Linked DNA regions of Oreochromis niloticus. The protein of the gene in region 1 interacts with the protein of each later gene in a pairwise test. Links are inferred from orthologs where the notes say so. Each region holds a gene or a part of one and is shown on either strand. Other genes may lie near its edges.

What was found.
Region 2: the proteins of spdef (region 1) and nkx3-1 interact in a two-hybrid assay, tested with the Homo sapiens proteins (2 studies listed by BioGRID). The link is inferred for Oreochromis niloticus from reciprocal best matches to the Homo sapiens genes SPDEF and NKX3-1.

Annotation. Positions count from the first base shown.
Region 1 is NC_031970.2:9,854,973-9,862,662, forward strand, and holds the start of spdef (SAM pointed domain-containing Ets transcription factor), read right to left. Parts: upstream 3,290-7,690; 5' UTR 2,917-3,289; intron 1-2,916. UniProt on the Homo sapiens protein: May function as an androgen-independent transactivator of the prostate-specific antigen (PSA) promoter. Binds to 5'-GGAT-3' DNA sequences. May play a role in the regulation of the prostate gland and/or prostate cancer development.
Region 2 is NC_031977.2:13,889,368-13,896,070, reverse strand, and holds nkx3-1 (homeobox protein Nkx-3.1), read right to left. Parts: upstream 2,211-6,703; 5' UTR 2,155-2,210; coding exon 1,926-2,154; intron 1,681-1,925; coding exon 1,283-1,680; 3' UTR 1,005-1,282; downstream 1-1,004.

The DNA of each region.
Region 1 (7,690 bases):
GGTGAAATTTGCAAACCAGTGGAGCCAATCTAGCTAAATATTAACCTGCGAGCCAACTCAGCATTGTTGAACAGTTTTGTGAAAGAAGACAGGTAAGTGTTTAATTTATAGTTAATGAGTAGTGATTAAAACAACTCCAAATGTCTCGTCTTGTTTAACTTGGATGAATCCATTCAAGCACCAAAAAAAGAGAAAAGGTCAGAGATTAGATCTGATGCCATCTATCAAGGCATAATCAAAACACACTGAGTGTTATGCTGGTAGTGTTTCAGTCTGGTATTAAAGAAGCGTATACAGCCAAGAGTGACTGTTTGCCATGTGACACTCCCCCACCCCCTGTTTTTTCCCTGTTATTGTTCCTCATGGGAAATTTGGACCCACTCATGAAGTCATTGTTCAGAGAAAAACGGAAGGAATTTCATCTTCTTCTTACTTAGTATGACTGTTGCTCTGCAAAGAAACGCCTGCTGGTTGGAGGAGGAGATTTAGATCTGCAGATTGCTCCCTTAGGGAATTTTTATTGCAGCAGTGACATGTGCAGGTGCTCTGTTCACGTTATAAATTAGCTTCAGTTTATGTGCTTATTTTATGAAATGCAATAAAGGTTTATTTCGTGTGCTTGTACCTACACTGCCTTATAATACTGATCCCATTAAACTCTGTTTTTAACAAATTTTTCCAACCACCCACACTGCTAGGGGATGTATGGTGATTCATATCTGCTGTTAGTCAGGTGTGCAGGCATTAAGCCAATATCCAAGGAAAATGGCTTTGATGTTGGTCTAAATTAATCTTGACAAAGAGGCTACTTAGAGCTAATTATGCTGGTAATAAACCTCATTTAATTGGGGTTGGACCTAAAGATTGGAGAACTTGAAAATGGGATAAAAAAATAAACCTGTCACTGTTCTAGCAAAGGCAGATATAAGGGCTGCCGCTACGTGGCCTCGGGCGTTTTCTTGAGCGCTGGGTTTAAATCGTAAATCATCACAAGATTAAAGAAAAAAAATCAAACAAGCAAAAAAAAAAACCAAACCCAGTTTTTTAAATGTTAAACACAAGGATGACCCTTTTCATCAGCTGCCTTACAAAGTGTGATGATATATGTTATTTGAGACACAATTCACTACTCATAACTTTATCAGATCATAGCACACGCTGGCAAACAGGCACTCTGTTTAACTTTCAAATGCTAGGAATAAAATTAAAAACAAAACAAAGAAACAAAGAAAAAAATACAGAAACTATCAGAAAATTTCGCACTTGACCCAACATAACTGAAATCCTGCAAGTGTGAGGGAAATGGGCTGTGAAGTCACTGAAGAGAAAAACATGTAAGAATGAACAAGGAACAAATCCTGTACGTCTAACAGGGCATATGTAGAGGATTTGGCTGAACCATCAACTGGTTTTTTCTAGATGCAACTAGTTCATATTTGCATATGACCAGTTCATGGGAACATTAATCTTTTACTTTTTGTTTATATAATTTCATTTTTTAACTTGTGCGGAGTTTGAAACTTATTGCAAATCTGAAATAACTGTCAGCAAACTGTGTGTGCTTCTTTAGAAGAGAATCACGGATAATTTTGAGTCTCCTGAGCGATCAGAGGCAGCAGATTGTTCATGAGAAGTCAGGTCTCACCCCCCCAATGGAAGTGAAAAAGGAGCTAGGGTTTGTTCATTCTTTACACAATCATCACTGTTACCTTTCACGTGTACTGATTGCAAAGCTATGAAATTGTGTGCCATTATTTCTGTGTTTATATGATACGATATCTGTTTCAAAGCTTTAAAAACACTTTTGACTTCAGACCTGGTCCGACAACCAGGAAAGAACTACTATTTGATTGTGTAAAAACCTGCCCCAGTATTTCATACCAAACCTCCTGAATCAAGTAACCAAGTATTGCATGAAATTATCAGGAGATGTGGTTTATATATTTTGATGAAGGGAGAAAAGCAAACTTTGGGGGGAATAGAAAGGTCTTTTCTGTTTTTCTTACCCCACTGTTTGTACAATGTTATGCCTTACGTGTGATTATCTGTGCTATCTTGTTATCTGTGCCATGAATTAAAAAGGGTTGTTAAGATTTATATAGATTCTACATTTAAACTTTGGCTTTAAAAATGTAAGACCTCTTAAGACAAAAGTAATTTCATACATTTCCATACTAACAAGGTCACAAGGCCTCTGAAAAATAATCGATTAGCTTGACATGAAAAGGAATATAAATGCACCTGTACCCATAGAAGAAACAGAACAAACAATCCGCTTCTGTTATTCCTCTTTGGAATTTCTCTTCTTTCTGTCTCAGGTAGTTGCAGTCGTATTTGATTTCCACCTTTGATTAAAACCACAGTGAAATCCCCCGTCTCATCCCACAGTGACAGCAGAAAGAAATCTGTTGGGTTTTTTGGTTTGTTTCAAAGTCAGTCTATTGCTGTGGTTTATGGTACCTAACTGACAACAGCATTTTTTCTGACCACATTTTGCATATTTCCTTTCTGAATGGAAACTTTCAGATTTGCATGAGATTTATGAAAGAAGAAAAACAGGTCTCAGTCTCTTTTTTCCTTTTATATTTGACTGGGTATTTATTTATTTGCTTAATCTGATCTGCAGTTGGTTCAGGAATGTCTGAATGTTTCTTTTTAATATTTTTACTCTTAACTTTCACATTAAGACAGGGGATGTATTTAATAATTAAACTTTTCCCTTTAATTACTGAGAGTCAAAATCTCTGGATGTTACTAATTAGGTTAAACGAACTGTTCAAGACTACTAAGAAAACTATAGACACACACAAACACACATATCTCAGATATACAGCATATGTCCTATAAATAATGGGCCTATAATAAGATTGTGCTACAGAAATATCCAAGACCTTGTTTAAGAGAGCAACTTCTTACCCAGCAATGATGCTCTGATGTTCTTGAGTCAATGACTTGACTGGATGCTGGCAGATGCAGTGCTGTTTCCAGCCAGTGGCCGGTTGCTGCCTGAAGATGAGGCGCAACAGGCAGCGGGCAACCTTCAGTCGGCTTCTTGCTGATGACTGTCACTGAGCCCCAAACACAGGTCTCCTCAAATCTTCCCAGGCTTTTTTGTTTGTTTGTTTGTTTGGTTGGTTTTTGGTTTTGGCAGAATTACACTTAACCTGAAAGTCACAGCCTAAAACACAACTGCACACTTAGTTCAAGTGGAAGCACCTGCTGCGGGTGTGTTCAAAGTGAAGCCAAGAGGACTAGTGGCTGGGTGAGTGAGTGCAAAGGAATTCCACCTCCATTGACTGCAATTTATATTTATAAGGCAGCCATGTTTACTTATGCAGACAACTCTCTCTCTCTCTCTCTCTCTCTCTCTCTCTCTCCCTCTGTGTGTGTGTGTGTGTCTTTGCTGATTAGCTCAGACCTCCTCAAACCCTGCGAGCCAACCTTAGTGTTTAGGTGAGAGAGAACTGAAAGTGATCAGATTAAATAAATAATTAAAAATTACAGTTTAAAGTGAGTGATTATGTAGCCAAATACAACACTTTAGTTAAGTATACTTTTTTTTTTTATCATGTTTCCATTTGTTGCTGGTTTTTGTTCTTTGTACTCCTGCTTTCTACTTCCCTACTGTTTGAAGACTGTATTTACAAACTTACCATTTTTATGTCATGTTATGTTAAAAATAGGAAACACATTATTATAGATGTCTGAGCTGTGAGTAGTAAATTTATCCCACAAACTCACAGAGTTTAAATGATAAATGTAGCTTTAAAACATGTCCATTTGTAGAGAAGTCTATAAATATAATTAGTCATTGGCTTCTGTTACCCATGGCTTCAGTGAGCACTTTCCTGAATGCAAGCTCAAAGGCTGACTGAAAACAACATGCTGTTCATTTTGTACATTGTAGTCCTGATTGTCATCACAAGGAAGTTAGAGCTTGAGGTAAGTGATAAGTTGCCAACATAAGTGCACCATGCATGCCAGATTCACGCCTCACTTGTGACATCTAGTTTTAAACAGCAATGATAATGAGAGGAAAAATACTGGGCTCAAGGTTTCAAAACCAGACTTTGCAGAACATGCTGGTCTTTGATATAAAGTATATTAGCAAACCCCTGTCCCTAGTATGGATGATAATAAACAGCTGCTTCTTCTCAAAAATCTAATAATGCCATACTTAATGACTCATTGTTTTCTGCAGCACTGCTGTTATTGGTTATACTGTAAGAACATTTTTAATGTAATATGTTTTAAGTCACCACGAATTAAGTGAGATTTTAAATGTGTGTCACTTCAATGTAAACCACTAATCTGAGTATTTCCTTCACTGTCTACTCAAGAACATGGAAGGAGATGCTGTTTAAACAAAAACATTAATTACTAAACACTTAAGATAATAATGTTTGTATATTAACCATTACAATAACAAGTCACAGTTTGATGTTAACATGTTAGCGTTCTCATGTGCTCACATACAAAGCTGGTGTGATATTTCATTTTGCTTCTAAAATCATTTCCGTGTAAGAAACCCAAAAGAAACATTAGACCCTTTTCTGTGTTAAGAATATTTGCACAGACATCCACTGAAGAAATACGATGCTTCAGCAGAATGAAATTTAATATTACCTACAGTTAGTGTTTGCTTGTGTTTCTCCACTGAGCTGCAGAAAGAGGGGTATTGAATAGTAAAATAATTCTGGCTTACCATTTCTCTAACTCAGACTGCTCTCCACTACATGTCTGGTTTTTCCACTTGAACAACTATTTGCAAAAAAATTACTGACGCTTTCCTCCCAAAACCTACTTTCTTTGAGACGGGGTCTTCTTGTGGCTTGTTTAAAAGGATTGAATAATGAAAGTGGTTTTAGTTGTCATATGGGAGGGTTAAGCCTAAAACATACAAACCTCTCTAAATAACCTCTCAAAAGCAGTTTTCCTTTGTATTGTTATTACTGTCCCTATAAACAACAATTTAAAGATTCTGCACATTAACACCATTGTTTTCATCAATTTGTCCTCATTAGATATCTTCTTCAAACTGCGTGGACATGACATCACTCTTACTCACCCGAGTTTATTTGCAAGTCATTCTTCTTCTTTAATGCCATGTTATAATTTATAATCCAGTTAAACTTTGTTTTTCTTAACAATTTACTTATTATTCCTTTGTGATAATCTGCTTAGTTTCAACAGTGGTTTCTCAGCTAAGATATCATGAAACCCAAATAATTCATAACACCTGTGTGGGTGTGCCGGGCTTTCACAATGTAACCGACAGAGCTGGAGGTCATTTTTTTAACTCCTGAATACTGTTTTTCATTATCATCATGTTTTTCCCCCTTATTATTATATTATTCAATGGCAATCACCAAAGTACAGTCACGTGAAAAAGAAGGTACACCTGTTTTAATTCTTACATTAGGTAAAACCTTAGAGGAACAACGACATATGACATACTAAACTGTCTTATTTAACAAAGACTAAGCTAAAATACAAAAGCAGTTAGTAAAAGCCTCAGTAAAGCCTTACTGCTTCCATTAGAATTAAGAGGGTAAGCAGCAGCCAGTTGCTGATAATCACGTTCACATGATTAACTGACGATCAGCAAGTGCGAGCACCTCCATAAAAGCAGAAATTTTGTCAGTTTGCTGGTCTGGGACATTCAGATGTCTGTTAACACAATGCTGAGGGGGAAAGGTTTTAGCAGTGAGCTTAAACAAACATCTGTTACTTCCCATCAATCCAAGAAGGGTTATAAGGTAATTTCCAAACAATTTGACCTTCGTCATTCTGCACTGAGAGAGATTGTTCGCAAGTGGAAAAGATTCAAATCACATGACTCTCTTCCCAGGTTTGGACGTAAAAGCAAATTTACCCCAAGATCAGATAATGCAACAATCAGAGAAACGGCAAAAAGCCCAGGAGCTATATCTCAGAATCTGCAGGACTCACTTAGCTAAATGTTGAAGACAGTACAATCAGAAAAAGACTGAACAAGTATGACTTGTTTGGAGAGGCTGTCAGAAGAAAGCTTTTTCTCTCTACAAAGAACATGACAGCACAGCTTTGGTTTGATAGTTGCATCAGAATAAACTACAAGGCTTCTGGAACTATGTCCTTTGGGTAGAAATAACCAAAATGCAGAAGAAAATGCACCACAAACAGCTCATACCAAGTAGGGATGGCAATTGATAAGAATTTAGCAATTTCAATTCAATTATCAATATCACTTATCGATTCTCACTGGGTTCTCATTGGCTCCAGCCATCGCCATCGCTAAGGAGCATATCAGACATTCATGCAAATTAACTGCATCTACAAACTAATGCATTACACAGAACAGTTTTCTTAAAAGTAATGGAGTACTTAATTACTCCCAGGAGAAAGTAACTACTCTTTACATTAACTGACAATGTATTGTCTCATTATTACCATTAAACAATATAAACATATAAGCTACAATCCCACTGGTCAACACAAATTCCTATCCTAATGAGGTACACATACGATCTTTCTCTTAGTATTTAGGTATGAAGCCGACAGCACAAAGCAAAGATGGAAACCAGCACAAAGAGACTTCTAGGCGATCGCCACAGTGATTCTGCTTTAGAAACATGAACAGGTAGAAAACGCGGCTGCAGCCTGACTGCTTATCAGTTTGCTACCTGTTGAGGTTGAGGGGCTGGCTGCTGGGCAGGGGTCGGCATTCACTCAGGTTTGGCATTACTTTGGCTTCTTGGATAGCTTAACATTAGCATGCTGTCTGTGCAGGTGCTTGCAAAAAGCTAAAGTTATGTTAGCAACATAAAGTGATTGTTTCTGTCCTGGATGCAGTTTGCACTTAACCACCCCACTCTCTCCTTTTGTGCAATAAAAATAAAAGTAATAAAAGTGTCCACATCCACTCTGCAGACTGCCACGGGAACTGAAATCAGCTGTGGATAAGTGCAAGTGGAACCGATAAGCGGGGTCAGTGACAGACTAACAATTCCAAGTAATTGGACTACTGCTGGTCCAGAGTAGTGAAGGCCTTAAAATTCACTAAGTAGCCACATATAGTGCACTGCTGGATGGAGCAGTCATATTTTTGTATTTTATGACAGTCCCAGATGTAAATCATGATCCAGGGAACTCCATAAACACTATATTTGAGTTCAAACCGAGATCTTTTTTTCATGAACACAAATCAGTGCATTCAATTATCCATTTCACTATTTAAAGTGGCACTCAATTGCATTTATTACATACTGCTGAATAGCAATATCAACAACTTCTCTGAACAAATAAATAACCTGGTGAAGTTAGTCCACTGTTTGTTTCCTACTGCACAGACAAGATGAACAAATAAAAAATAAATAAAATGTTTTCATATGGATGACTGCATGGACTTTGTTTTTATAGTTCATGCATAGAAAAAAACACAAGGTGAAACAATCCCCCAAATAATTCATATTTCCCTATTACTTGACAGCTATGTGCTAAATGTTAACATTGCACAGGTTTTATTCAGCTTTTACATAATACTTTGCACTAATATGAGTATTTTATGATTTCTTATGCAAATCCTGGCTTGAAAATAATATTAGCACACTTGTTGTACCTTGACCCGAAAAGGCTCCCAAAATATTGTCAGAGAAATATGAAATATATTTTTGATTAGACATATCACACAGAAAAGGTTTTGCAGCAA
Region 2 (6,703 bases), on another chromosome or scaffold:
ATCAGAAGTCCAGGTGATAGCACACCTGCAGAATGCTCTCTTCCACCGAAATGCTTCATAGCCACAGTGCAGCAGGTGTGAGTCTAAGTCTCACTTCATAAACTAACAAGACATAACTCGATTTGAAAAATCATGCTGCCAAACTTCTTGAAATTTTTATTTGTACAATCCAGGTGCTTGGAAAAATATGTTGATTTGTAGTATGTGTTACATCCATGAGTGTACAGGGCTATAATCACACCAAAGCTTCCCAAAAGGGGTCACAAAATGTGCCCAAATCTGAAGTGTACATCACATTTTGTGCGTTATCCTAGCTTATTGTTATACATCGCACAGAACATACCTTAAGAAACATGTTCTCTTACTTTATTATCTACCAACTGCCAGGTATACTATACAATCACCGTGGCATGCAGGAGGTGAGCCACATGACAGCTTTACCTCGTCAAGCCCCGCTTTCAAGAAAGCAAAGCTGACAACTGCTGATTGAACTCGATGCCTCACGGAGCTCCGTTTATCTCTGATTTAAACAAAGATGCCTCTTGGCCAGCCTTTGTATTTGTATTTATGTCAGCATGTTTAAGCATCTGGAATGTGTGATGTTAAAAAATGATTCGCTTAGCTGACTCTCTTACTGTTTTGTTTCCACTCGTTTTCCATGTGGTGCTGTCTCTAGAAAGAGCAGTTTATCTCTTTGCAATCAGGGCATCAGCTCTTTGAAGAAGTCAGGTCTCATTCTTTCGCCTTCATTGACACCAACTGCAATTTTATCAGAGTTTAACTTCATGCAAATGCTCGAAATTTTTTCAGCTTGAGAGCACTCAGCAGAAAGTTTCACTTTAACCTCACACTTAATGCCAGAGTGACTGTTTGAAAGTCATCCACACAGCTTTTATACAAACTGTGGTAAATGTATATTTGATCATTTCTACAAAACATTGCCCTGTAATTAGATCAGAAATTCCCCAAAGCACCAAATTATTATTATTTTCATTTTTTTTAAAAAATAAGCACTCTTAACAAAGGTTAAATGTATAAGCATTAATTTATTAATAATTTATTAATCAACAATGTCACAAGTTGGCTGTGCAAACCCATGTCATATCCATACAGCAAGATTTGTACGATAGCACATTTTCATGAGCGAACTCACTCCACGAGATGGATAAAGTCAACACATGAGCAAACATCGTATTCCAAATCTGACAAAGAATCAACTGTGACAGTGAACATAGATTTTAGAAGCTCGGAGATGATAAACTTTATAGTTATACATTTATTTTCACCATAACACTGGGCCCCAGGGGCCACTGTAGTCCCACAGGTAGGGTCTGTATTGGTAGGCTTTGTAGAAGGAAGTGATCAGTGATGATCTGACCGAATCCTCTTTCAGACCCAGTCCTTCTGCTTTGTACAAATCCTTACAAAACTCTGATGTCTGCTGCTTCCGCTTCGTTTTGTACCTCCTGTTCTGAAACCAGATTTTCACCTGGGTCTCGGTTAGTCTTAAGGTTCTGGCCAGCTGAGCTCTCTCTGGGGCCGACAGGTATTTCTGGTGATTAAATTTCTTCTCCAGTTCGAGCACTTGGAGGTGTGTAAACGCAGCTCTGGAGCGCTTCTGCTTTCCGGGAGAGGGCAAAGTTGACTCTGAGGAGCTGGGACACGATGTGTCCAGAGATTCTGTGAAGCACAGATGAGATCCAGTCGTTAAACAGGTAAACTGGTTTACAGCAGGCTTTGTGAACTTGTTTGTGATCATTGTGAGATAAGCAGCTGCCATTACAAATTAAAATTTTAAAGCAAGTCTTTTGTTGTTACTCTGCATCATTCTGCACATTATTCACAGTAAACAACACACATCAAACAGATTTGGTCACTTTATCTAAGCACAGCAACCCTGCTGCTGGAAGCCTGCAGACGCTCACCTGTCTGTAATCCAAAGGCTGTTTCCTGAAGACAGAAATGTGGTGAAAACTTTCCTGGTTCTTCATTCCACTGCGAACATCTTTCCTCCTTCTGCGAGCAGCATTTATCATTAAATCGCGCGCTGTCCTTGTTGGAGAGGATGTCCTCAATGAGGAAGGAAGTCAGTGGTTTGGCCGAGTCAGACATTTCCAGCCGGTAATTCCAGAAATCCGAGGACTCTCGGTGCATCAGAGGCGCAGTGGGAGAAGTGGCTGAAGCACTGTGAGTCCTCACACACTTACACAGTCTGAATTTATACAATGGCAGGGGCGGGCTCAGACTGCACAGACGGGTTAAGGAGGCGGGACGGCTAAAGTTTACTTCTACTTTCACTAACTTTCATTCAAGGTTCCTACTCAGCTCTGCTGCAATATATCAAGTCCATAAAAACATACAAAAAGAAGTACTCATCCTTTTTATTTTAGAAGTGATCTGTATAGAGAAAGATTTTAAAAATTCAAACATGTCCGTGTAAAAGAAAAAAAACAACTTTAGGTTGATTGTAAAAAGATTAATTTAAATATTTGTAGGTGTCTTTATGCATGCTTTTATGTTTAAATGGAAAAACAGTCTGGTGTGGTTCTACTTATACACATGTGCAGAAAGGTGTCTAATATGTGATCTAAACTCAAACAAAATGATTAGAAACTCATTTCTGTACAAGAAAAATATAATGGGTACATGTTGGCAATGTACTTTTTTAGCTATGATCTATTCCTACCAGAGATAACTGAGTGACATCCAAACTTAGCCAATAAACCTGTATCAGAAAAGCAAGCATTGCATGTTCACAAAGTGTGTTTAGTCTTTCTGTGGAAGAAGTTTGAGTCCACAAGGAGGGACAGAGCTACCTGCTCCAGACACACTAAAAAGTCTCGCAGTGAGCCCTCCATCAGCTCAGTATTGTAACCCATTGGCTTCAGCGAGACAAATGTGCCAGTAGCGGGGGTGGGTGGGGGCCAGTGGCTGGGGTCAGAGTGGGTGGTCATGCCTCCTGAAGCACTAATGAGTTGGACACATTTAGGCCGGCTCCTGAATGGACACGCTCATTGTTTGACGGCTGTTTATTTGTTGTTCTCTGCAGTCCGGCCTGACCTTTCTCCGTCCACTAAGATGTTTACAGGCGGTGTCGGAGTTGCTCTGGGATTTCATGCTTCATTTGGAAATGCGTGAATGTTGGTATGACAAACACAGTCCTCTCCGTGGCCCCTGATGGCGCTGACTCCACCAGCTTCTCTTTGCCAAATACACACTTACATCACACTGATGGCTGCTACTATTATCAGCAGCACTTAAACTGCATCACTGTATGCATTATACACTGTATATGAATATACAGCCTTATATGTTTAATATATAGATAAATATTATCACCAGACTAAGTCATGTCTGTCACTTTCTTTCCTGTGTTGTGGATAATCATTTATGAAAGCTATCTGTGTGTAATCTCTTGAGGTTCCTCGTTTGCATTACCTGCTGTCTTGTCAACAGCGTATTAAGATTAAATGTTTGATTTGTCTCACCATGAAATCTTTGCATGCGACCGTCTGCCTGTTAAAGTATGTTGAACTGTAAGCACAGAAAATCCCACTTTTGTCTAGACATAGTTGGTTTGTTCCTCGTAAAACTCCTTACGTTTATTTTTGGATCATACTGTACTGAACGTGGAACCAAGCGAAACCACACTACAGCTGTGTGCAAAATGACTTTCTACTAGAAATGCATACATTGCATTTATTTCAGGCATATGTCACTTTTATTTCACCATCTAAAAAACATTTGATTGTGGTTATAACGATGCTTGACAGAATAAGAAACCTCACATACTTGTCTGATGACATAAGCAAAAACAAGGTCAGCATGGACAGCGAGCGCCTGGGCTGTGTGGGGAGGGGAAGTCCTACGATTGAAGTGGTTCTTTTAAGACTCTGTGCAGTCATCCACCACCCTTATTCTGTGACAATCGACATGATTGCTCCGAACAATGGCATTCCCTCTATAATCACTCTGTCCTAGACAGTCATGGCATGGTTATCTAGATGTGCATCAGAGGTAACATAAGAGAGCTGCTGACCTTTCAGCCTAGAAAGGCATTTGTCCTCCCCGGTGCAGTGGTGACGATGTTTTCTTTGAGCCACCAAAAGTTTTTGTGCCATCAATCTTCTGTTATTTTCTTGCTGTTTCATTATCTGAGATGATGACTGCGAGGACTTGTCGCAGCAGCAGATTTGTCAGCATTCTGTCTTCTTATCTGCTCAGCATCAGAGTTGTTTTATACTGTACCCTACGACTGGCTGTTGCACAAGAATCCTCTTTGTAAAGTGTGTGACATAACCAATATGTCATCAGAGGGAACAGGTCAGTTTAAAGTTTGCACAAAAAAGTAAATGATAAAGAAACAATTACTCTGAATTTACTAACTATGAACCATTTTTTTCTTCTCCAAATTCAGTGAAGGGAAAATTAAAGTAACTTATCTTTGACCTATGTGAGATAGTTTTGCGCTATGTATATGCAATTCTAGTGTTTTCCACTAGAGGGAGCTTTAAAGCCAGTCTGACACCTACTTTAAAGGAGAGGGATTATGTACCATGGACTGTTATTTCGTCTACAACCAGCTCAGCTACAAAATTCAACAGCTTCTTAGTTTTGTTTAGGCGAGTTGTTGCAATGTGCATGAGCTCCTGCGCAATCATAGACAACAGTTCATCATTTCATCATCACACTGACATTTGAAGTCTCTGACATAGTCAGGGACGCATCTTTCTTTCTAACCACAGCATGACTTAAACCCTTTGTGGATTTTGGAAACCATAATGTCTCTTCAAGCGATGGTCAGACTCACGTCATTCTCTATTTAAACTGCCCCTCATCACAAGCAGTGTAATCAAGCACCTTTTATGTGGACGAGGAGAAAAGAAAAACTCCCTTTCCACCTTTTCAAAACAAAGCACAGGTACTGCGCATGAGCTCACAGTTTTCCTCTCTGAAAAGACACAGATTTGACTATTCATTAGTGAGATGTTGCTGAATGTCATTTAAAAAAAATCTTTATCTAACCAATTACTTCAGTTGAAAGACGGTTACGGTGTCATGAGATCACAGGGTTACGTCATTTTAAGGCTTTTCTTTATGCTTCTAAATTAAAATTAAAATAGTTCACACCAAAGGTTATGGCTACACGTGATCTATAATAAAATGTATTTATTTACTGGTGTTATTAAGAAGAATGAGACCTATATATATTTTTAAAGTTACATTTTAAAGGCATACACCATTAACATAACTTCTGCAAAGCCCTTCTACACACACACACACACACACACACACACACACACACACACACACACACACACACACGCACACATAGAGTCATTATCTGATCTCTCTTGGTCTCCTCTCTGTCTACAGCTTCATCCTTATCTATGCAGAGATGCTCCTTCAGCCCGTGTGTCTTCTCTGAGAGGTGTTTATTCTCTGCGTTCACGCGCAATAAATGACACAAACCCATTTTTCCTCCAATCACGTGATAAAATAAAAGTGATTTTGACGCGGAACGAGTCGCGTTGAAATATATCTCTGATGGATTTGACGTTATGATTTTATAATTTTAAATTAATGCCACACTTTATTACTGTAGAGGTGTAAAGAGACGACTTTAATGATCAAAAATAACTGAATTTTATTTTACACAAATCTGTGTTTGGGGGTTTGATTGGCGCTCACCTGCCTGTGGCTCGTCGATACACGACACGTCAGACTGGAACTGTTTCCCACTTGATTGAAAGTTTGAAAAAGTTAAAGAGCCACTCTGTCTGCGGGTTTGTTTACCAAGCAGAGCCCCGGGACAGGACAAGCTCTCCGGCCTTATCAGCGGATTTGTGAATGGGGCAATAATGAGCTGAGTTTTGATAGAGCAGCGCTGTCAGGTCAGATGTCACTTCATCCATTAGCTGTTTGATGGCTCTCTTTGATAAACCCGGCAGACGACAACGCCACAACCAGTTACACTTAAAGGTTCCTAACAAGGTACGCTGTCGTTTTTGAGCTCATCCTGGAAAACTGGGTGACAAAGTCTTTCAAATTTATATAATAAGTTTTTTTCTTTCTTTATTTTTTAAAGCTCCACTCAAAAGTCACGGAGAAATTTAAAAAAAAAAAAAAACCGAATAATTAAAAAGCAGTTTAGTACATTAAACCTATTTTTAAAACATACTTTATATGAAGTCATCATATTGCATGTCTTTATACTTAAGGATAGACTACATAGAGGTAGAGGATTGGTTGTCCCATTGCTTGTTGCTGCCGCATTAGAGGGCACTGTGGGTATTTTACGCGTTCATTTTGCACTGGTCAATTTGTGGAGTTTGCATTTTTATGAAAAGCTCACGCAACATTAGTCGTTTTAAAAATGCACACTTATAAAGAAAAGCCAAAAGTAATGGATTTGATTTGAATCCGTTTTTACCGTGCTAACTACATTAAAATATTTGTAATTTTTGTATTTGCCAAACAGTGATTGGTCGTAATTAAACTGCTATAAATAACTTGTTGCCATATAATATGTGAAATATATCCCAAATGTGTCATTCATGAATGATATCAAGCCATCTTGAGCCACAAACAACATTCCTGTCACAAGGTAGACACCGCAATCAGTTTTTGGCAAAGTGACTTTTATATATATGCACTTTATTTATCCAGATAAAAACGTCTCGTTAATATTAAAAATGTCTTT